Rattus norvegicus: one gene and its partners. The main gene of each other region encodes a partner of the protein of the gene in region 4 in a complex. Links are inferred from orthologs where the notes say so. Each region holds a gene or a part of one and is shown on either strand. Other genes may lie near its edges.

Region 1 (5,882 bases), about 95 Mb from region 4:
GTTCTACCAGGGAGCTCCATGACCATCCCTGCACACGTGTTACATAAATGCTGACTTTGCTAACACCTTACTGATAACATTTGTGTTACTTCTAATCTTTAACTACAAAGCTTGTGTTTTGCCGACTACGGCATCTCCCTGGCCCTGTTTTTAAAGTTATTTTACCACTACGTCAATACTAGATATATAGTGCTTTTTTTTTTTTTTCTTTTCTTTTTTTTTTCGGAGCTGGGGATCGAACCCAGGGCCTTGCGCTTGCTAGGCAAGCACTCTACACTGAGCTAAATCCCCAACCCCATGTAACCTGTTTTATGCTACAGAGGTAAGCATGTTATTTCCACTGTGAGCTGGGCTTTGATGAAGAACTAAGAAGGTCCTGAGGAGTTTCAACTGAAGCTTGTAGGTCAGTGCTCAGCTACTGCTGAAGCACGCTGCGTACTGCCAAGCTCCTCCTCGCCATGACGTTCACAGATTCCACCTTCTGAGATGGTAAGTCCCAAGTAGTGCTTCTTCTCTAAGTTCCCTTGGTAATGGAAATTACCCATTCAAAGCAATAGAAAAGTAGCTAAAACGCTAGTCCTCCTACCACAAGAGAGATGTGGAGACAGGAGACTGCCTGGAAGCTTACAGACTAGCAAGCCTGGAGTAGACAGCATCCAACACAAAGGGAACTTGTCGTAAACAGTGAGGAGGACAAGGCTGACAGCAGCAGAGGGTGTCCTCTGCCTTCCTCATGGACACTGGCCTCCACTCTTCCCGGAACTCACACATTTGCATTCATATGCACAAAAGTGTACACACATGCGAACACACACACACATACACACACACACACACACACACACACACACACACACACACACACACACACACAGTGAGTTTGGGGCCAGCTTGGTTTTTATGAGACCTTGCTTAAAAAAAAAAACAAAACAAAAAAACAGAACAAAACAATAAACAGAGTTCACACAGACACTTGGCTAAAAAAATTAAACTCTTGCAGAGCACTTCAAATTTAACACATGGGGGTTGGGGATTTAGCTCAGTGGTAGAGCGCTTGCCTAGCAAGTGCAAGGCCCTGGGTTCGGTCCCCAGCTCCGAAAAAAAGAAAAAAAAATTTTTTTTAACACAGACAGCGAAGGATTTCCCACTTACTCCTCTTTCAGGGAGGCAGGGAGGAGCGAGTGGCATGCTAGGGCCTGAACCCAGGACCTCATACACATAACACACAAAATCCTCTACTGCTGAGTCACACCACTGGCTCTGGTCATTCTATTTGGGGAATGAAAATTAAACTCAAGAGCAACAAAAGAGTTCAGGTAAATAAAAACGTTATTTTATCTTTCCTTTTTTGACAAAATTCTAAAACAAATAACTTTTGTCTAATACCTACCTGAGCCATCAGTAGGAACTGAACTTGCATTGATCCCGGAAAGACCAAACAAGGGGCACTCTCGATCTGTGTTCACATGGCCCCACTTGTGACATTTAATACACCTTACATTTCGAACCTGAAAAATTATAATAAACATTGTTTTGATTCTCATCTCACTTAGATCCCCCACCCTGCTTTTTTCTTTTTCGCTCTGAAGACAGGTTTTATTATGCAGCCCTAACTGGTCTAGAACTTGCTTTGTGCATCAGGTTGGCCTTGAACTCACAGAGATCCATCCACTTACACTTCTAGATCATTGGGATTAAAACATGTACCACCACATCTGGCTAAATTACTTTTAAAAAAGATCTCCAGGGAAAGCAATTCTATAATTATAGTAGGTAATTCAATGTAAATACTAAAATCTTGTTATAAAATGTCATCTAAAAAAGAAATGGTAAAATATCACAAAGAGTCATGGCATGGTTTAATGTTATGTTCCCTAATCTTAATACCCTCATTTAAATCTTCCTCCTCCCTCGTTACACAGGATAGCCCAGGTTACGCTTTCCATCTTCTTGCCTTGCCTCTACCTTTCACACACTGGAAAAACAAGTCATGCCACCTACCCAGCTACTCTTTCCTTCTCCTTTCTTTTCTGTCCTGCTCCAGCCCCTCATAACACACAAAGTGAGTGTTTTTTCACTGAGCTATTATTTCAAGCCCTGACGTTTCACATTTCTAAGCCAGTGGTGAGCAAATCTACTCTGTAAGTAACAACGCTGTGTTAAGCTGTGTCTGTTTGCAGCCACTCCGCTCTGCTGCTGTGACAGACGCAGCAGGGAAGCTGCTACAGACATCGCACATGACTGAGCAAGGTTTCTCACGGGATCAGCCTGGAGTGACAGGTGACTGTTTCTGAATCAGTAATCCTTTTCTTAAAGAAAATTATTGGTTATTTTATTTACTTACATTTCAAATGTTATCCCCAGTAATGTTTATATTGACATCTTTTCTCGACCTTGAGTCAGTTCTCTATGACTTGAAAGCCGGAGTGACCGCATCATTACCCCTTCACTAGCTTGATCCTCGTCTTCCATGTGCCTAGCACGGTCATGTTTTCTCCTCAGTCCGATCATTTGACATAATATAAACCACAAAGTCCTTTTTGAGCTTAAACACTATGATGCTAATCTTGGCTGGCAACCTCCCTACATATGGAATCAACTCAAACTGTTCTACACTCCAGTGAGGGATATTCTTGATCGGATTATTAAACCTGGGCCACACAGGAAGAATTCAGAGACGGAAGCTTTGAGTTTTGCTTGTTTGCACTCTTTCTCTCACTAGCAAGTTCAAGTTGCTCTATCCTGTTGCTGCTCATATTAAATCCAACTTCTTCAAGATTCCAATGCAGACTAAAAAGACCAGCAGCTCCCTAAGAATCCTCCAGGACTGCAGACATTCAACCTCATGGACCAAACAGCTGACTACCTGAACACATCCTCTAAGGGAGCATCATAAATTCCTCTCCTGTGTGTGTGTGTGTGTGTGTGTATTTCTCATCCTATCAGTTTTGTTCTTTAGAGAACTCTAATACAAACATTTTGGGGAAAATAATGTAAAGATACATGTGCTAAATAAAATTATTCTTAAAGAGTAAATGTGCCACTTGCCTGAATACCAAAGGGCTGATCTCTGATGTTCATGTCATCTTTAGCATATCTGTTAAGTACAAAACAAACATATGACTAAGAACAACGTAACAAATTCAATCAGCTAACCCAAAAAAGGTTAGTTTTTAAACATTATAAAGTGTATTATTACTATAAAATAAAAAACCAGCATCAATTTTTAAGTCTGATAATGTAGTTTTAAAGAACGAGCAAGCACATAAATCCAGGCTTGGATGAAGCACACTGTTTGCATGAGGTAAGTCATTAAAACACCCTTTCAAATTAGTCACTTGCTCTGGTGAGTGAACCTTAACAAGCAGGAGGCAAGGAGGACTGGAGACAGCCATATGCATTCCCCATAAGAACCAGTCTTACTTTTCCCTTGGAGCACCTTTCTGCCATTCGAACTTGTATTCTGTCTCTCCTTCCGTTTCTTCTTTCTACCACAGTCAGTAAAAAAAAAAAAATCTGTCAACTGTCCATAAAATCACAATCAACTATAAATCAATTCAAACAGAGAAAAGTACTTTACCTCTTTGTTTTCTTGATTGCAGATTCAAAGCACAGGGGGAAAGCAGGACAAGTTAGAAATGTCAGCAGAAAAGTCTACCTTACCACTGAAGGATACAATACAACATTGAAGTATCGTTCAGAATAGTCATGTTAACTCCTAATTTTTAAGCTTTTATGTTTTCACTGGCAGTGATAGACTTTGCATTTGAAAATGTATTTTAATAAGGACTACAGATATGTTTGCACTGTGAAAGGGCTGAACGTTTATCTGCCAGTACTGAGCATTCCCCCAAAGGACATAAGCTACTACATTGGAAACTCTTTATTTTACTTTGCTTGTGACAAGATTGTCAGAGCAACAGCCATGGAAAAATACAAATACCCTCTAAAAATACTGTCTCGGGCTGGAGAGATGGCTCAGTGGTTAGAGCACTGACTGCTCTTCCAGAGGTCCCGAGTTCAAATCCCAGCACCCACAGAGTGGCTCGTAACCACCTGTAATGGGATTAGATCCCCTCTTCTGCATATCTGAAGAGAGTGATAACGTACTCGCATTCATAAAATATACAAATAAATTAATTAAAAAAAATACTGTCTCCTCTTCCAAATCTTTACAGGCAATTACATCAAAGTGCAAAGGAAAGATACCTTTTTTAACTCCTGGCGGGGCTTCATACATGAAATTCAGGCCGTTCTTTACACGCTCATCTCCCATAAGCAATCTGAATGAAATAACGATAAACGGTTCAGTCAAGGAAGAAGATGACCACACACTATCTCAAAAGGAACCCTGAAGAAATCAAGACAAACCCTGAACAGTGCTACCTTACTGGAGACTGGTTGTGTCAACCTGAGGCTTCCAGTCTCCCTCCAGTTCTCTCAGTAAGAAAAGAAAAAGATGATGTAGTTATTCTAATAAGATTTTCTTTAAAAATGTACTCTGTTGCTGAAAAAGTTTCGAAATCCTACATGCCATTAGATATTTTGGTGCCACAACCTTTACTTAAAAAAAAAAAAAAAGAAAAGAAAGAAAAAAGAAAAGAAATGTAGTTAATTTCTTTCTGGCTTTGTGTAGCTCTGGCTGTTTGGAAACTCAGGTTGTGGACCAGGCTGGCACTGAACATATAGATATAGATCTACCTGCTTCTGCCAGAATTAAAGGTGTACACTCCATGGTCAGCTATTACAGTATTTTTAATTGTGGGGTGTGTGTGTGTGTGTGTGTGTGTGTGTGAACATGTGCACACGTATGCGAATGTTCATGCACGTGGAGGCCAGAAGTTAAGGTGGGGTGCTGTTCACCTTATTTTTAAGTCATTCTGTGTGGTATGTAGAAGCATGTCTGCATGCATGTAAAGGTCAAAGGACAGATCTGTGGGAACTCTTCTCTGCTTCTTCCTCTATATGGGTCTCAAGAGATTGCACGTGCCTGATCCATCTAGCCAGCCCTCCATCTCACTTTTTAGACAAGGTCTCTCAATAAACCTGGGCTTCCCAATGGCTGGACTAGAACAGTTAACCAGCACGCCCCAGGAATCTTCCTGTCTCTACCCCTAGAGAACTGGGATCGAGGCACCTCTCACACATCTGTTTTCTTATGTGGGGGCTGGGAATCCAAACTCAGGTGCCGATGCCTGCCTGACAAACACTGTACAAACTGACCTACCTGCACAGCCCGAGAGCCGGATTCTCTAATGAGAACAAAGATGAGGTTTAACAAAATTCTGTAATAGGCTAATACAACGAATGCCTCCAACTTTCTTAGATTTTTTGGTAGTGATTGAAAACTCCTTCTGTAGGTTTTGTGCAGAGCATGCTGTTGGGAAAAGAAGTCCACTGAAGACAGGATGACTCTGCTGCGTTAAAGATAAATGCCTAAAGTCCAAGTATTAGAAAAAGCTAAAGTATGGAATGTCTTTTTATCTGGAAAAGGTAACCACAAAGGGTATACTACATTACTGTGTGTGATTCTCCTTTCTCCATTGAATTCTACAAAAAAACTGTTAAAAAATAAACAGAACATACATACACATCTTTATCGTAGAATTGTTTTAATGTAAGTGGTGGATGATCTTCAGAAACACGCTAAGGGAAAGCAATCAGGGGAGTAACATGCGTGGCTCAGTGGGTAAAGTTGCCACCACCCAGGATTGCTGACCCGAGTTCAATCCCTGGGACTCACATAGTGTGAAGACAGGGAGTTGCTCCTCACTAAGTTGTCCTCTGACTTCCACATGTGGATCAAAGTCCTCGTATGCTCCCCAACACATATAAATAAATGTATTTTAAAAATTAAAATAACCAGTCACAAAAAACTAACC
Region 2 (5,214 bases), on a different chromosome or scaffold from region 4:
TTCAAGTGTTATTCCCTTTCCCAGTTTCCGGGCAAACATCCCCCTAATCCCTCTCCCTCCCCTTCTTTATGGGTGTCCCCTCCCCATCCTCCCCCCATTGCCACCCTCCCCCCAACAATCTAGTTCACTGGGGTTTCAGTCTTAGCAGGACTCAGGGCTTCCCCTTCCACTGGTGCTCTTACTAGGATATTCATTGCTACCTATGAGGTCAGAGTCCAGGGTCAGTCCATGTATAGTCTTCTAAGGACGTTTTAAATGGTGCTAAGAACCAAACGCCAGCTACTCTATTTTCTGGTCAAGAATGTAACCGGAATCTAAGCAGACTCCCCTCCTTCATGGATCGGTACTGTAGAAGTGTACTTTAGCTGTTTCTCAGCTCCTGCTCCATTTTTTTTTCCAGCTGGTGACCTTTGGTGGTCTTTAGTACTACACCTCAGAGCTATTGGCACTAATAGGTCAGTGTCATGAGTGGCACTTGTTCATCTTCCTAGAGCCAGGACGTCACAGGTTCAAACCTTCGTCTTGAATAAGTCTGAGTTACTTTAGTAGTCATATTCATTTCCAACCTAATTTGCGTGCATTCTTAGGACATTTTCCTGGAGCTGTTTTTGCTTTTGACAAGCTAAAACCCTGATGCGTGATGCTAAGCATTTAGCCAAGTAATACAATCCCATGAGGGAAAAAACATTGCAAATCAAATGCCAACGGGGAATGAAGCATAAAAAAATATAAAGCAGTGCCAACCCTTAAACAAAGAGCTTGTTACACACCTAGACTTCTCCACCCTCAGGCAAGGTTTGCTATATGCAGTGTGGATGTTCTCTAATGTGTGGTCCTCCTGCCTCAGCCTCCAGAGTGCGGGGATTACAATCAGAGCTGACCAGTTTTATTAGCATCATTTGCATGTGAGAAGCAAATAGCCAGAAGGTGCGTTTGTTTCTCTGTTCAGGTCACCTTGGTTTGAGGAAGTAATTAGCTCCAGGCCTTCGGCCCACTTGCACCAAGCACTGCACTTAACTTTGCTGGGGTGTTGGGGTGTCTTTGCTGGGGTGTTGGGGTGTCTTTGCTGGGGTGTTGGAGTGTCTTTGCTGGGGTGTTGGGTGTCTTTGCTGAGGTGTTGGGGTGTCTTTGGAAAGAGAGAGGCACAAAAACAACTTTTTTTTCCATAGGTCCTCAAGGAATAACAACGCATAAAGGGAAATTTAAAAGTGATTGAAAAGTAATGAAAGACTGATTTTCACATTTGCTAACATACATTGTAAAGCACTTTAAAAAACAAAATGCTAGTCAGGCAGTTGGCGGTGCCTGCCTCTAATCCTAGCACTCAGGAGGCAGACACAGGCAGATCTCTGAGTGGGAGAAAATCTGCTGTACAGAGTGAGTCCCAGGGCATCCAGGGTTACACAGAGAAACAAACAAAAACAAAACAAGAATGCTTAATTACAAATCAAATTGGCCTAGGGAAGGCAACTGGGTCATGTCTGTCATTCCTCCTTTACCTTTAATTACTTGGAATTTTAAAGAAAGGCTTACAAAATAAGATCCTTTCCCTGACATCTTAATGCCAGCCCCAGAAAGCTTCAAACAAAAACAAAGTTTCATAAAATAAACAGGCTGAAGTAGCTGTAATAGTAATAACCTTTATTTAAAATATGTTTAATCTAGGAAGCTCAGTTTATATGAGTTTCCAACTAATTATCAGGATCAAAAACGACAGCAACAAAAACAAAAAGCCAAAGAAAATCCTCTGTAGAAAAAATACACAAGAACGTTTCTACATCGGAAGAACAGTAAACACTCTTGACAGCAGACGTCTACGTGCGGGCATCTCTCCTAGTGGACACCACTGTCCGCCTTGAGATCTGATTTGTTCTTGTCGTTCCTCACTGAGTAGATGAAACATGTTAAGGTGTCTTTTTCATTCACTGGAATAGACTTAAAGTGGCAACCAACTATCTATAAATTAAAAAACAGACAAATTAAGTTAGATAGAGCAGACACTGGGAGCCGAGTAGAAGACACTACTTTGCCAACGAGTTATGTGACCACATGACACTTTTAAAGATTAAGCTGTCTTAACAGAGTATCAACACGCTCCAAAGCACACACAAACAAGATATTATAAACAAAAGAATCTGATTTCAAAGAACTCAATATGCTCTGACTCTGTGTATTTTACTCCCTTTGGTCAACTTGATTAATGTGCACCTGTTATAAGTATTTTCTCTTTAAACTTTACAACTTTAGATTGCAAACTACATATTCTTTTTTTCAAGAAGATTTATTTTTTTGTTTGTTTATTTATATGAGTACACTGTAGCTGTTTTCAGACACACCAGAAGAAGGCATCAGATCTCATTACAGATGGTTGTGAGCCACCATGGGGTTGCTGGGAATTGAACTCAGGACCTCTGAAAGAGCAATCGGTGCTCTTAACCACTGAGCCATCTCTCCAGCCCAAGCTACATATTCGTAAACATTAAATATCAATGAAATAAAACAGAAGAACTGATGTCCATCACATGAAGACATTTAGACATTTAGAGTGTAGTCACAGGAAAAGATTAATAAAAAGAAAAAAAAACCTTGGTAATAAACCATACCATAAATATCATTGGTGCAATTGATATTAATTCTTCTTAAGTTTCTTGCAAATTTTTCTGAATAAAATTTAAGAATGGAAAATTAAAGGAGCTGGAGGGATATTCAACAGGACTGTTTCCCTGACTTTTACTGCACAAATCTAACATGTACGCCACAATTACCAACAGCTGAGAAACCACGCAGCTGATATTCGTAGACTGAAGACTGCCTGCTTTTCTAGAATCGGAATCTGAACTAATAAAACTGTCTTTCAAGACTAGATTTCAAGGGCTTTGAGTTTGAGTTCTATATTTAAATATAACTTTGCATCAGATCCTGGCTATTTGTTATAGAACGGGGTGACTGTACTAGATTAGTGACTAGTATATTTTATTACAGTAAGGAATGTCTTCACATTTATGTACTATGCAGCCGAAAAAGGACGAGAACTTTTAAATAAATTTAAAGAAAAAAATATTTTTGTTGCCTAGGCAAGAAATATAGGAGATTTGGCTTGTTAGCATACTGAATTTTAATGTTAAAGAGCTTTTCTACAAAAAAATGTAACTCATTTATCTTTTACTTCTGCACATTAGAAATGCAGGCTAAGTATTAAAGTCCAGCTGAAGAATACAGGCACACTCTTACATAAATATGTATGTGTTGATTCACACATACAGACTTCTGATGTGTCTATTCCATGGAAACGTTTGCTTTGAATAAAAAGTATAATTACTTAAATCTGTTATTTTAACCGTTCACAGATCTTGTGGCTTTATTACTTCTTCAACACACACACACACACTCACTCTCTATTAGCTTCTGAAATACACCAAAGGAACTAAGTCCCATATAAAACAAACTTTATGTTAAAGCTTTATTTTTGTTCTTTCTCTTGATGTAAAGAAAGTATCCTCTACTTAAAACTCCTAACAAAGGCAAATGTATCTGAAAGTAAAGCTAGAAAGTAATAAAACCCTGCAGACTTGTTCCACAGAATCTCTGAAAACTAAATTCTAATAAATACTTATAAGCTATTTATTTTCCATCCTGCAATGGAAATATTCCATTTCAATTCCACTCCATATTTATATTCCCTCAATAAATATTCATTGAATAATTAGAAATTTAAAACAGAATTCTAGAACGATGATAAAAATTTCTTATTGAATATTTACTCTAAAAATCACTATTAAAAGACGCTGTACATACTCTGAATATAATCCACTGAGTACTCACTGAAGAGATTTTTCTCAGTGGCAGACAGATGTTTCTAAAGATCTCTACTCTTCCACGATAGGCCTATTAACTTTGACTTTACTGCATGTAATGTACTATTCAGTATACTGCATTTCTCTATTTCATCATCACCTAGTGATACCTTGTTGCTGTAAACAGGATTGTTTCCCAGTATAAAGCATATTTATATATACCTCAACAAGTTGTGCTTTATTTAGACCTGGTCTGGTTGGAAGCTTGAAGTGTCTTTTGTATCTTCTAAGTGTATTTACTTGTAATTGGTACAAATCAACCTAGAAAAAAAATAACATGAATTAGATCACTCTGCTAAAAAGATATCACTGATCTGTATGGCACTTCACATGACTTCATTTACAAAATCAGACCTGTAATTTATGAAACAATTCCATCTTTGGGGAATACATATTATAAACTTTTGGAGAAATAAAAGGGGAAGTTGTATATCAAGAACTATAAGACTGTCATCTGAGATTTAATATTAATATAAAGCCAACTTACTGGCTGTATTTAATTTTGAGATTTCTCAGATGCTTTAAATGGTTAAATATTTACAGAACGGTTTTGGAGTTGCCAGTGTGATTATGATTGACAATTCACTATAGAAAACCCTGCGGTCTACCTCTGGAGTGTCGATGTCCTGAACAGGTGAGTCTCCTCCATCATCATCGCTCCCTTTCCTCTTCCTTCTGTTTCGAACACTCTGAATTAGGTTCTTATGATAGTCACAAATGTAAAGATGCCTTGCCTGGAAAGGACAAAGAAAGGTTAAAAGACTGTGAGTCCAGAAAACTAAGGTCAGTAAACTGCACAGGCCCAGGCAGCTCACTAAAAACAGTCTAATGGCACTGGCAAGAGGATGCATGTTTCTTTCCAATACTAAACTGCTGTAACATTAGCAATCTGTGATACTGTTAAGGAGATTGGGGGAGGGGTGTAGTAGAAAGTGATGGGCTGGTAGGAAGAATGGTTGGAGAACTCAGGCAGGCACCTGGCAGGCAGACAAGCAGAGGAAGAGAAATTCCAATCCTCTGTGTTTTGTCACCAAATTGCATCGAGGGTGACCTAAATAAGTTAGCTCCTGCTGGTTTTGACTTAAGGGGAGAGGTGACATTGCCCACAATTTTGTACTTGTTAGTATTTTCTCTAACTTGAGAACAGCAAATTATATTAATGGCACATATGCTTCCTTATCTTTCTAATTAGATAGTCAAATTCTACACAGATACAAAGTATGCATTTTTTTACGAATGTGTCATTGAATTCATATTCATATCCTATGTTTAAATTTCAAGCCCCAAGGTTTCTTTTCAAGAATTAAATGAATGCATTTCACTGTATTATGTTGTTTTCAATTAAAGCAAATTGAAATTA
Region 3 (6,184 bases), on a different chromosome or scaffold from region 4:
TCGGGACTTTGAGTTTATAGAAGCCTGTGAAGGAAACAAGCAGGGAAACTGAAGGTTAAGTAATTGTTCAGGTATCTAGGGGGACTTTTTTGTTATTTCCATAGGCAGCTCTCATAGAACCATACTCATGCGTAAATGAATGTTAAGAAACACCCAATAGTCCGTAGCTCAAAGACAAAAAACCCCATCTCTATCTCCAGTTCCCAACAGGGCTGTAGACTATTGCCTAGGGAATGGTGAAGGAATCCTTTATAGCTCTTACTAACACCCTGAACAGTCCGACACACATTCACTTAGACTTCCTTCTGTACAACTAAAGTTAAGTGGTCATATCAGAAAAGTAACTTTAAGTCTCCTGTGGAACTGGAAAGTGAAGGGGCCTCTAGAACATTCTGACCCTTCAGTAATTCCATGCCAAATATGGTTTCTTCAAGCCAGATTCCAGGCTGATAAATAAAACTAGAATTCTGGCCTCTTGCCAACTCCCTCCAGCACTTGAGAGTACAGAAAGGGCAGGACTGAGCCCTGCCTTTGATCTCACCCACATCTGCTAGTTTCCTGTGACTGAGAACACTCCCAACTTCCCAGTTCCGTCAGTTTTTATCACTCCTGCACCTAAGAGTCACAAAGTAAGGGACCCCAGGGCCTTGGAACTGGGGGAGGATTTGGAGATGCCAAGAAGGTGCCTTATTTTGGGATAAATGCACTTGGACCTCTGGAAAGCAAGAGGCCCCTGGTCCCTGAGGATGTTAAAAATTAAATATTAAGAAATAAATAAATAGTTCCCAAATGACAAGTCAAGGAATGAAGGCTCCTGTCTCATCTAGTTAGGAGACATCCCCCTCCCAGGGAAGGATCCAGAAATCTCCAGCATGCCGTATTGGGGGTGGGGGGTGGGGGCGTGAATATCAGCATCAAATAGGGTACAGTGGGAGTAACTGGCAGCTACTGAGAACACGACAGGCAAGAAGGAAGCTGGCACCCAAGGCCAGGCCAGGCCTCCCTGGGACCTGCTTGAGGCTCCTTCAGCAGCCTCCTGGACTCAAAGATATAAAATGGTAGCCATGGGCTTGTCCAAAGGTCCCTCAGGCCTAGCTCTGCACCTTCAGGCCTCTGAACAGTTCCCCTCGGTGTAGCAGGCTGAGAGTGGGGCATGAACTCCAAACGTCTGAGAAAACTTTTACAGCCCCAGATGGGCTGTTGACAAGCAGCAAAGGGGTTGAAATAGCCCTCCGAGATCCCGACTAAGGAAGTGGTGACCTTAAGACTGGATCGTTGGAGCAGCTCTGGCCTGAGCATGATTTCACAAGGTCAGCACAGGGATTAAGGCCACCACTCTCTAGGGAGCCCCCTTTGGGTTTAGGAAAAGGTTTGCACAGCCTTCCAGGTCCTCTGGGGAAGGAGGAATAATGCTGTCACAGGGTGAGCTTGTGCTTGGCTTGCCGTGGTGGCTTCCTAAGGACCTGGGATACAAGAGGCACAGATGCGACAGCAGAGATCAGAGAAGTAGCTCAGAGCTCTTTCCCATTCCAAGGGGCCTGGCCTCTCAAGGCTCCAGGAAAGCAGAACGACTCGGGACAAACCAGATACTGAGAGAACTGGATCCTGCAGCCCTTAACACTGTCCTTGGCCTTCGTAAATAAAAGAGCCTGTTTATTTTTCATTATTTGATTTGTTTTGCAAAGCAAAGTCCAAGTGATCCTCTCCTGGCCTTCTCTAGAGGTTCCAGGTACAGAGTTCTGGGGAGCCCGGCAAGAGGATCCAGCAGGGCCTCAGCCCTTCTCGCCTTCGCCGCTCTCTTCTTTCAGCGCCTGCTGGTGCGCGGCGGCGGCTGCAGCCTCCTTCTCCTTCAGTCTTAGAGCTGCAGCCTTCTTCTCCTGCTCTGCGTGACTCTTCATGTGAGCACTGCGGCTCTTCACCTTATAAAACACCCTGCAGCGGGCAGGAAGGGCTCGGGTGAGAGCCACCCCTTCACTCTCCTCCCTCAACCCCAGCCGGTCCCCCCCCCCCCAAGTCGCTACCCTTAGCCCGCCCACTCGGGAGTTTGTCGCTCCGCCCCTCAAACTATGCCTGCCCCACGACGTCATGACCCTGGAAACCCAAGGAGCCAACCAAAAAGCAGATCCCCAGAGCCCCGCCCCCAGCAGCGTTTAAATCCTCCGCTTGCGTCCAAGTCCCTGCCCCAACCTTAAAAGGTTCCTGTGAAGACAAGGAAGGGACTTCTTACCTGCCACACTTTTTACAAGGGAAAGTGTTCTCCTGGTTTTGGGTTTTATTAAATGCCTCCGGTTTTTTCTTCTTCTCTGTGAAAGGCAGAGCCCTTCGTGACTTCCCCGGCCCTTCCCTTGGCTTCTCTGAGGTCTGAACACTGGCAGACCCCGGGGCATTGGGTTCGTGGCTCCGGAGAATGAGGACATCATTGGCCTGGAGACAAGTGACAAACAGGGTGTGTTTTAGAGGCAAGTGTGGAGCCAGAATTCTGGCATTTCAGGGAACAGGGGGCCCTAAAAAGTCACACATTCCTGCCAAATAGTCAGGGATAGGACCACTTGGCAGCTTCAGGAGGCAACTGCAGCTGGCCCTATCCCAAAGTGGTGACACATACTTCTGTGCCACGTGCTGGCAGTTAAAGCCATTAACACTTCTGACTTTGCTCAGGGGGGAGGGGTGTTGTTGTTGTTGGATTTTTGTTTGTTTTGTTTTGTTTTTGACATTTAGTCCAATCATATCTCAATGCCAGAGAGACGTGTTCACATGATGTACCAGGTGGTAAGGAAGTCAGCCCTGTCCCCAGAAAGCTCCCATTGTAATGAAAGGGACAGATGTGATGGTCACCTGCTGAGAAAGTGGGGAAAAAGAAGAGAGGGAACACGTATCAAAGTAGAGGAGCCATGGTGTACACACACCCCAAGGTATCTGCTTTGGTCTCAGGCCAGAAACCCCAGATGGCCATCAGAAGTGGTAAATGTGCCCTGGGTCACCCCTCAAAGTGTCCACAAAGACAGCAGAACTGGACAGCAGACACCACACGGCTCCTGCAGGCCAGCAGTGACGCTCAGGAAGCAGGCAGCTGTGTTTGGCTGACTGGCGTTCTGCAGGTAGAGTGCGCAAACGCATTCCATCTCTCCCACTTCCAGGGAGAGTTCTTCTGACAGGGAAGCTAAAATGAGATGCCTCGCTCAGTCCGTGAAGGAGACAGCACAAAGACCTGGGGTATACCTTCAACTAAGTCAAACAGCATCTCCGACCCTGATTTCCCTCATCTGCTGAGTGGGAGGGAGCGCTGTGCGGCTACTGTGAGGGGTTGGTAAAATAGCGGACATGAAGCACTCAGCCAAGAACAGAAAGGGCCATTATTGGGGTTCACAGTCTCAGCTCTACTCCGGACACTCTTGTCAAGCACGTGTTCTAGGGGAGCCACGAGTGAGCTTCAGCTTCGGAGTGCTTCCCCTGTGCCGCGCAACCACTGGGTTTTCTTCTACAAGGCCTTGTTCCTCTGAATCTCAGACAAACATTTATACAGTATGCCCACGCACGTATATACATATAATTACATGTGAATACATTTTTCGTAATGGGAAGATAAGCTGCACACTGAATCAGGCTGTCGACAAGCTACATAACCTTCAACCACCAGTTTGCTTGGCTGTAAAATGAGACTCATAACAGCCCTGACCACACAGGGTTGAGACCCAAGTAAGTTACCAGCATAAAGTACCTTGGTCTGTCACCATGAGGGTCACCGTGGTCTTGCTGTCCTCCCACCCACACCCCAGGCCTCACGCTGTCTTCCTGCCCTGCCCTTGGGGGGAAAGGTGGAGGTCACTTACCGCCTCAGTGGGCTGTAGTGTCTGTGTAGCTTTGACAGCCGCGGCCCGACGGCTGCGCTCTCGCCCCTCCTCCTGCTCTCCCTTTTCCTGGGTGTCTGGTACCTCCTCCTCCCCCTCCTTCTTGGGTTCTTTCATTTCCCTCTTGGGTTCCAGCCTCTCTTCACTTGGGGACTCTCTTCTGGGAGGAAGCACCCTTGGGAACTTCTGAGAAGTCTATGGGGACAAGAATGAGCTCAGTCACCCGAGAGGGCCGATTCTGATCCGGCCAAGGCTCTGGAGCACCAGCCCGGTCTGCGGCCCTGCCTTGGCCCAGTCCAGCCTCTTGTACCGGACCTCTGTCATAAGTCACAGCTTTCCTATGGCCCCTTGGCCTGGAAAGAGGATGATAGTTTTGACCCTGGGTGCTCTCAGGGTGAGACTGAGCCAGGGGTTTGGAGGGGGCATGCCAGGACCCACAAACCACCTGGCCTCCTGGATAGATGCCCAGAATCTTTTGAGCACCCTTTGGACAGAGTGACCTCGTGGGCCAGGCAGGAGCTCTGAGCTCCAGCTTAACTGTCTGTGACACATTCTGTATCTCTAACTCCTCATCTGCCATATGGGGACCAAACTACTCCCTGATTTCAAAGTAGAATGCCACCAAGTACTGACTTGTAATTTAGAGACAACGTCAAGAGGATTCATGGGTGCAAAATTAAATCACAGCGTCTTTCAAAGACCAAGTCAGGGTTGGTGTTAATGTGCCTCTTCCCTAGACTTGACAATCTGCAGCCAGCCCTGTCTCAGAGTCCTGGCAGGCAACTGCAGCGTGAAGCTGGCGTTTAGTAACCGTGTTGGTTTTCATGTGTACTTAGTTTTCCCAGTACCTTCTATTTATAAGCAACAAAACTGGTTTCTATTTATGACTGTAATATAAAGCTTCCCTTTTGAGAAAAAAAAAATGAGCTGACAAAAAAAAATTAATAATAAAAGTTGTATGGGACATGACAGGAACAGTAATCGTGGTGTGTGTTAACACACAGACAAAGCAGAAATCATAAAGGTGGTACAAGGAGAGCGGGAGCCCGGATGTGGCCTGAGTGGTCTGCTCGGAGGAGGCAGTAAGATGAAGCTGTGCCTCAGACTCTCCAGTGTTCTACATCAGCACCATCACTGTGACCTGGACAGTCAATGCCAGAGAGCTCAAAAGGTTCAGGGCCTGGGCCACCAACCAGCTCCCCGGAGCTCTCAGGGACCTGCTCTCCTCTGACAGCCCTGTATAAAATGCCAGGAGTCTGGCCCCAGGTGTTACCAACAGTGAGGCGGCAGAGCCAGGAAGGACTCACCTTAACGTCCACCTCGACTTCCTCTTGGCCGGACTTCTCAGCACCGGTATCCAGGTCACCAAAGGTGAGTGTCCCGTTGCGGCCAATTTTCACCTGTTTCTTGTAGGTGTAGTAGAACTCCACGCACTGAGCCACAGTCTTGGTCTGGATCTGAATTAAAGCCAGAAGGGAGGTCAGAGGGAGCTGGTGTGGTTCACCTTTCTCATCGATGCTGGTTCCCTTTAGCCTTAGGCAAAAAACTAAGTCCCAAACCCCAAATTCTCAATGCCTGCTCCACAACGAATCTCAGGCCAATGCAATTAATGGAGGCTTCTGCACCATTGCAACGAAGGACCAGAATTTCTGGGTAGATTTGACTGTGGACTAGAGAGGACCGTGACCTATGAGAGTCCCAACATGAGAGGCTGCACTGGGCCAGCAGGGGCTCAGGAGCCCTGGCTGCGTCGGAATCTGTACCCTAGCAGAGTAACTGAACTCATTCTTATCCCTCAAGCTTCTTGGAAGTTCACCTGGCTCCTCCTGGAGCCCCCAGGTGAAAAGGGGGCTCATCGTTCTGCTTTTTGATATGTATTAAGTGAGGTGATGTCTAGACCATCTCCACAGGCCTCTCAATGTGCCTTCAAATTGCTTGCCAATGCTTAGGGAAGTTTTATTTGAAAATAATCCTCCTGCCCCTGTGTTAGCATTGAGTGTGTGGCCTAGCACATGGCTAGGCGAATGCTCTACCATTAAATAGTACTTCTAATCCTACCCCTGATTATCTAGGCTGGCCTTGAACTTACTTTAGTAGTCCAGGCTGGCTTTGAACTTGTAATCCTCCTACATCATATTCCCAAATAGCTACGATTACAGGCCTATACATCCAGGCTCAGCTGTAGCTTACATTAAATGATTTGGTGAAACTGAGGGGGCGGGGGAGAGATAGCTCTGTGTGTCTCTGGGTCTGTGTTTAGATGCACACAGGGAAAGAGAAGAAAACAAGACATGGTAAAACTGGTAAACCTCGGCAAGGCATTAATTAATGGACTT
Region 4 (6,628 bases):
TTTAATCCTGAGACATAGGGATGATTCACATTTGCTAATCAATAATGGAATTCATTAAGCAATAGACTTAAGACAGAAATCAAATGATCATCTTACTAGATGCAGAAAAGGCTTCTGACAAAATAAAACATCATTTTGTGATAAAAATCCTGCGAGAGATGGAATGTATCCCAACATAACAAAGGCTACAGATGACAGACCTACAGCCAACATCCTATTAACTACAGGAAACTCAGAACTGAAATCAGGAACAAGACTCTCCACTCCCATTCAGTACAGTAAAGTCTCAGCTACAGCAACCAGACAAGAGAGACAAAAACAAAGCACACAACAAGGAAGAAAGCAGCCAGCGGAGCTTACTTGCAGATGAGGCTTTACACTCCAGAAAACCATGGGATTGACAAGCACTTTACACACCAGAAAACCATGGGATTGACAAGCACTTTACACACCAGAAAACCATGGGATTGACAAGCACTTTACACACCAGAAAACCATGGGATTGACAAGCACTTTCAACAAAGAGGCAGAATTAAAAAAAAAAAAATCAACATTCAAAACCCTACAGCCTTTCTCTACACTGCCAGCAAAGAGGCTGAGGAAGAACTCAGAGAAATCATTCCATTCACAATTATTACAAAATAAATCTTCCAGTAAAGCTTTAAAAACAGAAGGAAATTGGTGAAGACCCTACAGGATGGAATGACACCCCCCTCCACCCCCCCAGCTCATGGACTGGAAGAATCAATACTGTGAATTGGCATTACCAAGCAATCCCCCTCAAAATGCACAAGTGTCTCTAATAAGAACAGGCACCCTAGCTCTGTTTTTGAGTAGCCCAGTGGTCACCTCTTCTTTTCCCTCATTCCCTACCACTGTTTAAAGTGAACAAGGGCATTATTTGTTTTATACACTGTCACCATCTCAGACATGCCTGACAATATGCTAATCATGAGTTACTATTTTTTCCAGTGTTTGGGATCAAACTCATGGCTTTATACTCATGGCTTTAGACTTTTCATGGTCTAAGCAAGGGTGTTGAATACATTAAAATGAAACCATTTGGCAAAAAAAGCAGTGGAAAAGTTATTGGGGTGTATATTCAGAATGGAAGCCTATTTCCTCTGTGTAGCATGCATGTGAACAGAGACTGTTGACAGGAGGAAGGACCATCCTGCTTGGAAGTACCCTCTATCTCCCCACCTCTTTTCTCTTCTTTCTTTCCTGATAGGATCTTTCTATGTAGACCAGGCTGACCTCAAACTCCAAAGATTTGCTTGCTTCTTTCTCCTGGGTGCTGGGATTAAAGGTATGTGCTACCATGCCTGGCTTTTTCTAAGAATTTTTAAAAAAAATTATTTATTATATATATGAGTACACTGTCGCTGTCTTCAGACACACCGGAAGAGGGCATCGGATCTCATTACAGATGGCTGTGAGCCACCATGTGGTTGCTGGGAATTGAACTCAGGACCTCTGGAAGAGCAGTCAGTGCTCTTAACCTCTGAGCCATGTCTTCAGCCCCACCAGGCTTTTTCTAAAAATTTTTCAAAAAATTTTTGTGTATGTACCTGTGGAATTTATACTCCAGGTATAATCTGCAGAGGCCAGAAGAGAGCACTGGATCCTGGACCTGGAGTTACAGGTGGCTAGGAGTGGCCTGATGTGGGTGCTGGGAACTACAACTGAGTCCTGTGCAGGAGCAGCAAGCACTCCTAACCACAGAGGCTGTGTTTTCCAGCCTCCATTCTGTTTTTCCCTCGTCCAAGGGGTCTTACTGTGCTGCCCAGGCTGGCTGTCAGCTGCCTCAGCCTCCTGCATGGTTGGGCACACTGCAGCACCTGGCTGTACGATCTTGTTCAGCAGTGCTGTTGGCTTTAATCACCATGTCCTCACCTTCATGTACTTGTTGAAGACACTCTGGATCTCCTCATTGATGCTAGGCTGCAGGACAGCACGGAGGAGATCCATAGAGATGGCTGGATCTGTGAAACTGCATTTGGGGGTGGGGGTGGGGGAGACAGAATCAGGGGAGTGTTCCAAACATACATTCCCAGATTACTCAGCCAGTTGGCGACATGGGATTTTAAATTTTTATTTCATTGTAACTCTGTGAAATGCAAATTATTTTCCAAGTGTTTTTTTTTTTCTTTTCTTTTTTCTTTTTTTCGGAGCTGGGGACCGAACCCAGGGCCTTAAGCGCTCTACCGCTGAGCTAAATCCCCAACCCTTTTCCAAGTGTTTTATGAACTATAACATATACACATATATTTTTTCTTTTCCTTTTTCTGAGACAGTCACACTATGTAGTCTGGCTGTCTCAGAACTCACTATATAGATCAGGCTGGCCTTAAACTCACAGAGGTCCACCTGCCTCTGCCAAGCGCTGTAATTAGTAAATGATTATTAAATCATTAATAAATGATTATCGCTACCCCAGGTCAAAAATACAAGAATTCCAAAGGCTCATACGCAGTTTTTCCCCTTCCCCAGACCGGACACTCACTAGTAGTCCCCTGTCAAAGCTGAGAAAACAGAATCTAAGAAAAGCTAAAGGCTTGCCCGAATGTATCCAGTTAACAAACATCAGAGTCTGCATTAGAACAGATGCCTGAAACTTGAATTCACAGTCTCTGACTTACAGATCTCAATCGCTGAGATGGTACTCGACTTTTTATTCCTTCTCTGCTTTGTAGAGGAGTTAGGGCAATAACTGTCAAGGTTACAGGAAGTTAGAGCACCGGAGTCTCTCTTCCCCCGATTTCTGTGCTCTTTCTACGTGTTGTTGATCTCAAATTCCTGCAGTTGGGGGTCTCAAAGCACTCAAAGTCCACATAACGGATATCGGTCTTACCTTGTGGTCATCTGAGATCGGCGGCCTCTTCGCTGCACCTGCCGGTGTTTGATCATTATGTTCCAAGGGTTCTGTGGGGACCAAGTGGGCAAATGTCACCGAGGCCTCTCAGAGTGAGGATGAGGAGAAAGTGAGTATGGAGCGAAACCTAGACGTTCCTGCTTCTCACTTCTCCCACCTTGGGGTGAAGGGGAATTCAGTGGCTGGAAGACCCTGTCAGGGTGGAGGAACTGGGAAAATGTTTTCTGTCACCAATGTCCAAATCTCGCTTTTTCTGGAAGAGCAGCAGCGTTTACCGAGGGTCTTATGAGGCGGGTGAGTCAGGACGTTCTACCCGCCTTTATCAGCCCATCCCACCACAACTCCATCAAGCTCGGGTTAATGTTGTTCATTTCACAGAAGAGAAACCTGGCGCCCAGAGGGTGTCACATCAGGCCCAAGTCACCTAACTAGACTCTGAATCCGGGTCGTCACACGGAGAAAACGGCACCCCCAGAGCCGCACAGCCGCCGCGTTCTTTCGCCCGCGGGCCCGGGGCCCGGGAGCCCGAGGCCCTGCCCGGCCCGAGCCCCGGCCTCGCCCGGGCGCCCTCACCGTGAGAACCGGCTGGCCCGCCGCGCCCGCGTCGCCCAGCTCCAGGCCGCCTCGCTCCGCCCCGCCGGGGCCCCGCGGCTGCTCGGTGTCGCCAGTCGCCCCCATGGCGCCCCCGGCCCACAACAACCTCAGCTCGACTCAGTCACCGGAAAGCGGCGCCGTGACGTCACGGGAGCGCCCGAGCCACCCGGCCGGAAGCGGGATGCGGGTGCTCCGAGGGTTGCTATGGGAACCGAACTGCCGCCTAGGAGCCGCGTCTGAGTGGTTTTCTCGATCTTTGGTGTAGGGCACGACGTCGGGGCTTCCGGATCTCTGGGAGAAAAACGGCTGGGGACCGAGTGTGGGTGTTCGGGTCCATTCAGTCAAAGGACGAGGGCGGGTGTGAGGGCAGCAGAGCATACAATTCAGCTGGGGAGCATAGGACTTCGGATGAGGGCAGTCCGAAGTTCAGTCTTTGAAAACCGCAGGAACATCTGAAAACTTGGCCCAGCCTCTCCCGAATTGGAATAGTCCGACTCAGGAACCAGGAAAGCCAACAAAAGAAGGGCTGCTGGTGCCACCCGAAATGCCCAAACACCTAAGCACCCTATCACTAGCCTTTGCGGGCTGCCGCTTGTGTCGGAAGGCAGCAGAATGAAGGTTGGGTTTGGGCTTGCAAACTAGTCCTGTTCTGGAGAGCTGACCTTCTCTCCTCTAGATGGTTGATTCTGGGATAGGTAGGGGACAGAGGATTTAACAACTGTGGCGTTCTCCAGAGCCCCCCTTAGCATTGTCTCAGAGGTGAGCTGTCCGTGAAAGAATTGGATTCATTTACGGGTGATGAAGTTACTCTTCTCGGGTTACAATAAGCGGGTAGCGTAACGTGTACGAGTTTTGTGTGAGGAAAGATCTAGATTCAAATCTGATGTGATATGATCATAAATGCTGGATAGGGCCTGGTGTGATAACATAACCCCAACACTGAGGAACAAGTAGTAGAAAGCTCACTCTGTGCAGCATAGCAAGATACTGTCTCAAAGTCAAAGCCTAAGAACATTGGCTGCGGGACTGGATCACCTACCGTTGTTCTCCTGCGTACTCACTCATTGCACGATCATTCTTCCACAGTCTCAAATGTTCCAGGCTGGACTCAAATTCACCGTGTAGCTAAGGAGCGGCCTTCACCTCCACAGTATGCCGCACCATGTTTGGTTTATGTGGTGCTGGGAATTGACCCCAGAGTCACATGGTTGATATTAGGGCTGGGTTATTTTATACAAAGCACTTAAAACTACGGTACAAGCAACTCCTTAGATTATTCTAATACAATAGTAATTTTCAGCCTCCACTTAAGGACGTTTTCCTTTGAAATATTATTGTGTGGGTTAAAGTACTGTACATAAAGTCCGTATTAGATAATAACAATACCAGTTTTTTCCATGTTCCAACATCCACTTTTTAAAAGGTTTATGTGTACAAGTGTTTTGCTAGTGTGTGCGTATTATGTACATATGTATCTACGTACATACATCATGTATGTGCCTGGTGTCCGCAGAGGTCAGAAGAGGGTATTGGATCCTTTGGAAATAGAGTTATGGATAATTGTAAACTTCCGTGTGGGTGCTGGGAACTGAACCCTGGTCTTCTACAAGAACAACACAGGCTCCCTGAGTTCTGAGCCATCTTTCTAGCCCCAACACCCACCTTTTAACAAGGGCACTTCCTTGCTTTAAATGATGGTGGCTCCCCACCTCCCACACCCTGGGCAAGAGCCTACTCTGTAGCTCTAGGCTGGCCTTGAACTTTGGCTCAAGCCGGTTTTGTAATTTACCTGCCTTTCTCTGCCTCCCAGAGCCTGGAATCACAAGTAAACCCTACCATGCCTGGTTTTGGATCTATGAAGATTTTTTTGTTATTTTGTTTCTACCTATACTCTGCCCCTAACCTTATTGGGCTCGGCAGTGTCAGTGGACACCATTAGACATCAAAGCCAACCGAGGACACACGCTATGCAAATAAGAAGAAACAGGGGAAAAGGAGACAAAGGAGACATGTGAAAGAGTCACAGCAGCTGTCCTCTCTGAGTTTGATGACTGCCCTTCATTTTGTCTAAGAGTGGCATGTGTGGTCTTATGGGGACCAAGCTGCAAACTTTTTGTGCTCTTGTATCGATGCTGAGACACTCTGATGCTGCTTTCCCATGGGTTGTGACAGTTCCCAGAGATGGACAGGAATCGTGCTTAAGTTATATCCTTAGCTCGGCTATTTTCTTCTCAGGTTGTCCATCCAGTTCTTCCCTCTGTCTAGAGGCCCTTCTAGATCCTGTGGACGGAACAAGGAACACAGAGCTTTTTGTTCCCTGTCAGGGTCATTCTTGGCAAAGCCAGCAGTGGACTGGTGCCAGGGCTCTGGGGGGCTGAGACCAGGTTTCCATGTAAGCTGTGGTTAACTGTTCCAGACCCTGAGGTATGGAATGCTTGCTTACCGTACCAGAATACACCTTGCAAAAAAGAAGCTAGAGCTCCCTGCAGTCCTGCTGATTTCCCTGTAACCTTGCTGATTCGTATTCTGCTGCTCCATCCGAGGCTGTGTAAAGAACTGTGAGGATAATCAACTTGCTGGCTTGAGTCATCAGCCCTCGGCCCCTCACACCCCCAAGCCCCAGCTGTGGACTGTTCATTTTTCTCATCTCTGGTCCTCTCCCTCAGAATCCCAGTGTGAACCCAGCAAGAACTGCTGGTCTGGTTCACCCTCTGTTGTTTTGACTGCAACTGAATCCTTCCAAAGCCCTTCTGGTCTCTCTTTGACCTTTAACCCAGAGGCTACCTCTCCATTTTTCCAGCCTCCCAGGGGACCTCATCACTTGTTATGTATATGCGTACATAACAAGTGTTATGTAGATATCGACATAACAAGTGCTATGTGTATGTCTGCATAACAAGTGTTACGTATATTGCATGGCAGTATTTGGTCCCTCCCATCACATGTGCTCTTTGGTAGTGCCAGGAAAGTTCCCACACACCAGCAGCCAATCACTGTTGTCATTGTTAGGAGAAGCTGTTCTTAGGGGATAATTGCTTAAGTGAAACCGTTGGGATTAGACTGACAGGAGCCACCTAGTCCTTCCTTCAGCTGCTACCTCTTCCCTGAACCGAGCTCTCGACTCTCACAGTCAGCAGGATGTTAAGATACCTCTTCCTC
Region 5 (5,882 bases), on a different chromosome or scaffold from region 4:
CATCATGAATAGAAAGGTCTAAATTATTTAGGATAGTAATACTTTCCGATGTATCTACATATTAAACAGAGTAGCCATCAAAATCACCACTGATCTAAAGTTCTATAGTAATGCAATGGACCCATGGCAGCTAACAATCCTGGAAGACAGAACAACATAAGAATTCAAATACACCTATTAGAAAGCGTACACAAATCCACAGTAGTGAAAGCATTATGGTAGCAGCGTAAGAATAAGCATGCAGATAATAGAGAACTCCTAGTCTGAGGAGCAACCATACACACTGATAATTAATGGAGGTGTGTGTTTGTGTGTGCAAGTGCACATTTATGCGGAAAAGCGTGCAAGTGGGGGTGGCTCAGGTAAATGTCACATGTTATTCCTCAGACGTCACTTACCTTGTTTTCTGGGACAAGATCTCTCTCTGGCCTACAGTTCACTAAACAGGCTAAACTGCCTACCAGGAAAGCCCCAGTCTCCCTAGTGCTGAGAGTACAAGTGTATGCTACTACCCTAGGCTTTTTTTTTTTTTTAAATAGGATGGGAATGATATTTTTGGCAAACAATCCTGGAGTGAATTGAATCCATGCAAAATAATGAACTTTGATCCTTATCTCATACAATATCCCAAATCTAGTTGGAAATTGATTAAAGATATAAATTTAAGGGCTGGAGAGATGGCTCAGTGGTTAAGAGCACCGACTGCTCTTCCAGAGGTCCTGAGTTCAAATCCCAGCAACCACATGGTGGCTCACAACCATCTGTAATGGGGTCTGATGCCCTCTTCTGGTGTGTCTGAAGACAGCTACAGTGTACTCATCATATATAAAATGAATAAATAAAAAAAAGATATAAATTTAAAAGTCAAAATTATAGCTGGGCAGTGGTGGCACATGCCTTTAGTTTCAACCCTTGGGAGGCAGAGGCGGGTGAATTTCTATGAGTTAGAGGCCAGCCTGATCTAGAGTGAGTTCCGGGACAGTCAGTGCTAGACAGAGAGATCCTGTCTTGAAAATCCAAGCCAAGCCAAACCAAGCCAAACCAAACCAACCAACCAAAATTATAAAACTCTCAAAAAATATAATACTATGTGTCTAACTACTCCGGAGGCTGAGGTAGGAGGGGTGTGAACTCAAGGCCTGCCTGCCAACAGAGTAAACAGGAATGGCTCTTCATTACTCTGTGCCAGTCAAGTGGTCACATATAAAACCCAGTGCACATTAGGAGAATAGCCAGATCTCCTTAGTTTATAAAGAAGGACACACCAATAGTCAATGAACACCCAGCAAGATTCTTGGCACCAGTAGCCACTAGGGTAATACAAATCTAAACATAACAATAGGCATCTTTCATCTGACTGGGTGGCTAGAAAGAATCACAGCCTGTAAGTGCAGGTAAGGGGCAGAGGTATCCAGACTCTCCCGATTGTTGGCAGGAATCCAAAATGGAACAAATACTCTGGCAGACAGTTTGGCAGTTTCCTATATGGTTAAATAGAGTTTCCATGTAACCCAGCATTTCTTTCTAGGTATTTACACAAAAGGAATTGGTACATAGACCCCCACAGGAAGTTATACACAAGTGTTGTTACAGTATTATTTACAATAGCCAAAAGGAAAACAATACCCATACCTACCAACTGATAATTAAAAAGAGTGGTCTGGCCATTGAGTAGACTATTACTCACTGATTAAAAAAAAAAAAAGTTCTGACACACACAACCACCTGGTGAACCCTGAACACATAAACTAAGTAAAATGGGGGATACATAAAAAGCCACAGTTGTATGATGTCACTTATATGAAATAACCAGCATAGGAAAGGCTATAGGGACAGGAATTAGAGTGGCTCCCTGAGGCTGGGAGATACATAGGACTGTGAGAATGAAAGCCAAAAGGGTGGTGTAGCCGCCCAGAAAACAGGCTTCTTGGATGGCAAAAACCCTCTAAAGATTGTGTGCAGGGAAGCTCAGCGGCTAGAGAATAAGCTCAAAGCACAAGCTTGAAATGGCTGATCTGCATGGTGTGTATCTCTGTATCCATAGAGTGGTTATAAAATGAATACAAGAGGGATTAGGCTGAAGGGCTTCTATGTGTTCTTTCTGGATGTTAAAACCAAAACCAAAGCCAAACTAAACCAATCAAACATCTAGAAGAATCATCTTGGTATGTTTCTGAGTAGCACTGAGTCCCCCCAGAACAGGCACATACAAGGCTGGAAAGAATGGCTGGATCATATACAGCAAAGCACAGGGATTGTGGGCCATAGGAGAAGCACCTTAGCCTGGAATAGAGTAGCTTTCTGGCCTCACTCACCAAGTACAGGGCTGACAAGGTGGGGCCCAGCCCTGGATGTGGAGCAGAGTGTATTGAAGTACAGCCCGGAGCCCTCACGAATTGGGCTAAGCATAGGTGGTGGTGTGTAGGGAGAACACTGAAACAAGCCCTTGAGGAGGTGGTCCACCAGGAACACAGGAGAGCGTAGGCAGCTCTGGTGGCACCCTCCTGGGCCTGGCTCCCCAAGGGCAGAGGGTGCAGGAGGGGCAAACAGGGCCTTGGGCTGGGGCCGCTTCTTCCTCTTTCTGTATTGGCTGCTCTCCTTGCTGTCTCTCTCTTCCCCGTCTTTTTCTTGTCCCTAAAGAAGAGAGGACAGAACCACAGGTGTCACCTGAGACCATCTGTTATACTAACTCAGTCTTCAGCTTGTTCAGGGAAGGGAAAATGGGGCTTCTCATAGGGACAGAGAGGAGGAGGATATATATGTCTGCCATGGCCATACCCAGGGTTAGCACAGGAAGCTGAGTAGAACCTTCTTCTATTCATAGCCCAGACCCACATGAGCCAGAACTGACTAACATACTCAGTATGGTGCCATCCTGAGGCTCAGGGGCCTCCTCATACAGTCATATAGGAAGACACTGGGGCAGTTCAGTGGCTCAAGTGCCAAGCATTCCAAGAGTGAGAGTCAGATACAGGGTGTATGCCTTTGATCTCAGCACACAGGAGGCAGAAGCAAAGTGGAGTAAAAGGTTATCCCCATTTACATAGCAAGTTCAAGGTAAGGCAAGGCTATAATAGAGACCTTGTCTCACAAAATAAATAAGCAAGCAAGCAAACAAACAAATAAAAACCTAGAAAACAACAAAAAATGTATTAAAAGGAAAAAAAGAGGGCTGGAGAGATGGCTTAGTGGTTAAGAGCACGGACAGATCTTATAGAGGTCCTGAGTTCAATTCTCAGCATCCTAATGGTGGCTCCCAACCATCTGTAATGGAATCTGATGCCCTCTTCTGGTGTGTCTGAAGACAGTTACAGTGTACTCAAATAAATAAAATAAATAAATCTTAAAAGGAAAAAAGAAAAGAAAATCATAAAAAAAAGGAAAAAAAAGAATGGGAGCAAGAAACAAGAGTATTGTGGCAACAATAATGTGTTCTCCCAGAGGCCTGTGTCTTTTATGAGCCACCACTGGCCTAGCACTGACACAGGGTCCAGTAATAAAGATAATAAGGGAGATCCATCACTGAAATCATAATGACTTTCATATCTTCTACTGTTCCTTCCTCCCTGCCGGCCTTCCTCTTCTTCCAGGTCTTAGCTCTGACATACCTTCCTGCCTGGGCCCTCAGTTCCTTCTTCTCCCACATCCCAGCTCTGCAAATTTTGGGTCATTGCTGACCAGGGTCAAGACTTGGGCTGTCAATATCAGTGCTGTCACCAGCACTCACACCATTAGGCCTGATAAGGGCTCAGCCAGTGCTGACCGTGGGTTCAAACCAAGGCTTCTAGAGTGAGGACCTCTGGGTGTTTCTGGTTTGGGATTTTCTTAGGAAACAGCAGCTGGAGAAGCACCCATCTTGGCTGAGTTCCCTAGCTATGATTATGCTTTCCAAGGACATTTTGGCTTTTGGGGACCCCTGTCCCCAGCAGGCCTCAGTGAAAAATTGTGCCAGATACCTGAGCATACAGAGTTGGTAGCTCCAAGATAAGGAGCAGCTAGGGAGAAGAGTGGCTCCTGATGACATAGGAAGTACACAAAACTGACTAAGGGCCAGTGGGGCTACTACAGCCTGCCAGATGGTCCTGGCTGGCCCTCATGTCACCCAGCATCCTTGCCAGTATGCTGCCTTTAACCTGAGATGGATGGCATTGTCTTTTCATCCACTTCCAAAGCCTGTCTAACCCAGCTACAGAAGCCACCATTTGCCCCTCACCTGTTGCTCCTGCTTCCCTCGAGGTGATGGCCACTGGTCACTATGGAAACACATGTGGCTGCTCAGCCCTTTCTCTGTGTAAAACATCTGGCTGCAATTCTTGCACACAAAAGTGCTCTTTGACTCCATCCAATCTGTGGGAGTCCCATTTGGCTGATGGCTGTTGATAGAGAAGGCAGAGGGAGAATGGGAGAATGAGGCTCTAGCCCTGACTGCTGCTTTGTTGTTGCTGTCTTCGCTATTGGTTTGGTTTGGGTTTTGTGGTTGTTTTTGTTTGTTTGTTTTTTTTTGCATGTAACCCCAATCCACTGAAAACTTGTACTAAACAATGAAAATGGAAGACCATATTCAATTTTCCAAGGGCTGAAATGTCCTCTGCAGGGCTAGAGGCATCTGGCTCCCTCACTCTTTAGACAGTACAGAGAGTCTAGAGGACTTTCCAGTGGAGTGCTTTGGTGGGGCATGAGAGCTCCTAAACTTACCATCCGCCTGCCAAGCTCTCTTCCTTCACTGGATGGGGGAGTCTGTAGATGTTTCCACCCTGGGGATGAGAAGATATCTGAGCCATCAGAGGCCAGACAAGGGAAAAAGGAAGACAGCATTGGGGAAGCCTGCTTGATGGTGCTTTGGGCAATGATTTCTCAGATTTGACACCAAAGCAAAGCAGAAAACCCAACAGACATACTGGACTCATTAAAACTGAAAGCTTCAACCCCACAAATATTCACACATAAGATGGAAAGGCAGTCCACACAATGGAAGAGAAAGTCACATGTCTGATGTCTGATGTCTGATGTACATACACAATGTGTGTGTGTGTGTGTGTGTGTGTGTGTGTGTGTGTGCGCGCGCGCACACCTGCGTGTATAAGTCAATAAGACTTGGTCTATAAGCCCAGGAAAGGATTCTAACATCAGCAATGCCAGGGCATGACAGTGGCAGCACCAGCAGATATCATTGCATAGCCTAGTGTGACTGTCACAGCAAAGAGCATGGAGAAACAGGGCACTTGTGCACAGCAGAGGCACTAGAAAACTGCTGCTTTCTAGAAAGTAGTCTGGTGACTCTTTAAACATTGAGCAAGAGACTGATGATTCCAGTCCTTGGGTCTAGCCAAGAGAAACAAGAATATGCACCCACAAAACAGTCTCTAATCCCAGCACTGAGAGGAGGCAGAGGTAGGCTGATCTCAACTGATCTCTGTAAGTTCAAGGTTAACCTGAACTACATAGCGAGTCCCAGGCCAGTTAAAGTTACATATCCTGACTCTAAATAAATGTAAAATTTGTTTTTAATTTCTAAAAAAATGAAGCACTGGCAGATGCTGCCACATGAATGGACCTTAATCATGTGATATAAACCACCACACATCTGACTCTACTGACATGAAATGTCCAGAGCAGTTAAGCCACGGAGACAGAGGATTTGTGGGTTCCCAGGGCTGGAAGGATAATGGTAGAAGAACCAAAAGACTGGAGTGATTATTAAGGGATGCAGGGTATCTTCTGGGAGTGATAAAGTGTTCTGGCCAACAGTAATAGCTGTGTAAACTTGTGTCTATAACAATGTCTGCCAAAACATCAACTTTGTAAGGGTTCATTAAACATCATTTGGCTAACAAAGATGTAGATGTTTACAAAGTGGTAGCTGTGAGATGGAAGGAATGATG

What was found.
Region 1: Dnttip1 (region 4) and Cir1 share a complex: the UniProt entries of both Homo sapiens proteins name them as parts of the histone deacetylase complex. The link is inferred for Rattus norvegicus from reciprocal best matches to the Homo sapiens genes DNTTIP1 and CIRSR.
Region 2: Dnttip1 (region 4) and Sap30 share a complex: the UniProt entries of both Homo sapiens proteins name them as parts of the histone deacetylase complex. The link is inferred for Rattus norvegicus from reciprocal best matches to the Homo sapiens genes DNTTIP1 and SAP30.
Region 3: the proteins of Dnttip1 (region 4) and Mideas are in contact, whole or in part, in a cryo-EM structure (PDB 6Z2J), measured with the Homo sapiens proteins. The link is inferred for Rattus norvegicus from reciprocal best matches to the Homo sapiens genes DNTTIP1 and MIDEAS. Residues at the interface, in NP_443183.1 of Homo sapiens: Pro63, Ser66, Leu69, Leu70, Ala72, Val73, Leu74, Pro76, Ser77; in NP_001036783.1 of Homo sapiens: Gln768, Asp771, Leu772, Thr774, Ala775, Ser778, Ser779, Ile802, Leu803, Leu806.
Region 5: Dnttip1 (region 4) and Zfp541 share a complex: the UniProt entries of both Homo sapiens proteins name them as parts of the histone deacetylase complex. The link is inferred for Rattus norvegicus from reciprocal best matches to the Homo sapiens genes DNTTIP1 and ZNF541.

The regions. Positions count from the first base shown.
Region 1 is NC_086021.1:78,585,456-78,591,337, forward strand, and holds part of Cir1 (corepressor interacting with RBPJ 1), read right to left. Parts: intron 4,284-5,882; coding exon 4,210-4,283; intron 3,617-4,209; exon of another isoform or gene 3,592-3,616; coding exon 3,581-3,591; intron 3,489-3,580; coding exon 3,424-3,488; intron 3,098-3,423; coding exon 3,049-3,097; intron 1,509-3,048; coding exon 1,391-1,508; intron 1-1,390. UniProt on the Homo sapiens protein: May modulate splice site selection during alternative splicing of pre-mRNAs. Regulates transcription and acts as corepressor for RBPJ. Recruits RBPJ to the Sin3-histone deacetylase complex (HDAC). Required for RBPJ-mediated repression of transcription.
Region 2 is NC_086034.1:37,760,232-37,765,445, reverse strand, and holds the end of Sap30 (histone deacetylase complex subunit SAP30), read right to left. Parts: intron 4,589-5,214; coding exon 4,463-4,588; intron 4,116-4,462; coding exon 4,017-4,115; intron 1,957-4,016; coding exon 1,834-1,956; 3' UTR 1,621-1,833; downstream 1-1,620. UniProt on the Homo sapiens protein: Involved in the functional recruitment of the Sin3-histone deacetylase complex (HDAC) to a specific subset of N-CoR corepressor complexes. Capable of transcription repression by N-CoR.
Region 3 is NC_086024.1:109,517,375-109,523,558, forward strand, and holds the end of Mideas (mitotic deacetylase-associated SANT domain protein), read right to left. Parts: intron 5,306-6,184; coding exon 5,156-5,305; exon of another isoform or gene 4,044-5,155; coding exon 3,831-4,043; intron 2,425-3,830; coding exon 2,228-2,424; intron 1,933-2,227; coding exon 1,773-1,932; 3' UTR 1,637-1,772; downstream 1-1,636.
Region 4 is NC_086021.1:173,898,069-173,904,696, reverse strand, and holds the start of Dnttip1 (deoxynucleotidyltransferase terminal-interacting protein 1), read right to left. Parts: upstream 3,607-6,628; 5' UTR 3,554-3,606; coding exon 3,449-3,553; intron 3,382-3,448; exon of another isoform or gene 3,300-3,381; intron 2,926-3,299; coding exon 2,855-2,925; intron 1,994-2,854; coding exon 1,897-1,993; intron 1-1,896. Other genes in the region: Wfdc3 (WAP four-disulfide core domain protein 3 precursor), read left to right, coding at 6,608-6,628. UniProt on the Homo sapiens protein: Increases DNTT terminal deoxynucleotidyltransferase activity (in vitro). Also acts as a transcriptional regulator, binding to the consensus sequence 5'-GNTGCATG-3' following an AT-tract.
Region 5 is NC_086019.1:85,897,265-85,903,146, reverse strand, and holds part of Zfp541 (zinc finger protein 541), read right to left. Parts: intron 4,755-5,882; coding exon 4,696-4,754; intron 4,374-4,695; coding exon 4,214-4,373; intron 2,635-4,213; coding exon 2,316-2,634; intron 1-2,315. UniProt on the Homo sapiens protein: Transcription regulator which is essential for male fertility and for the completion of meiotic prophase in spermatocytes.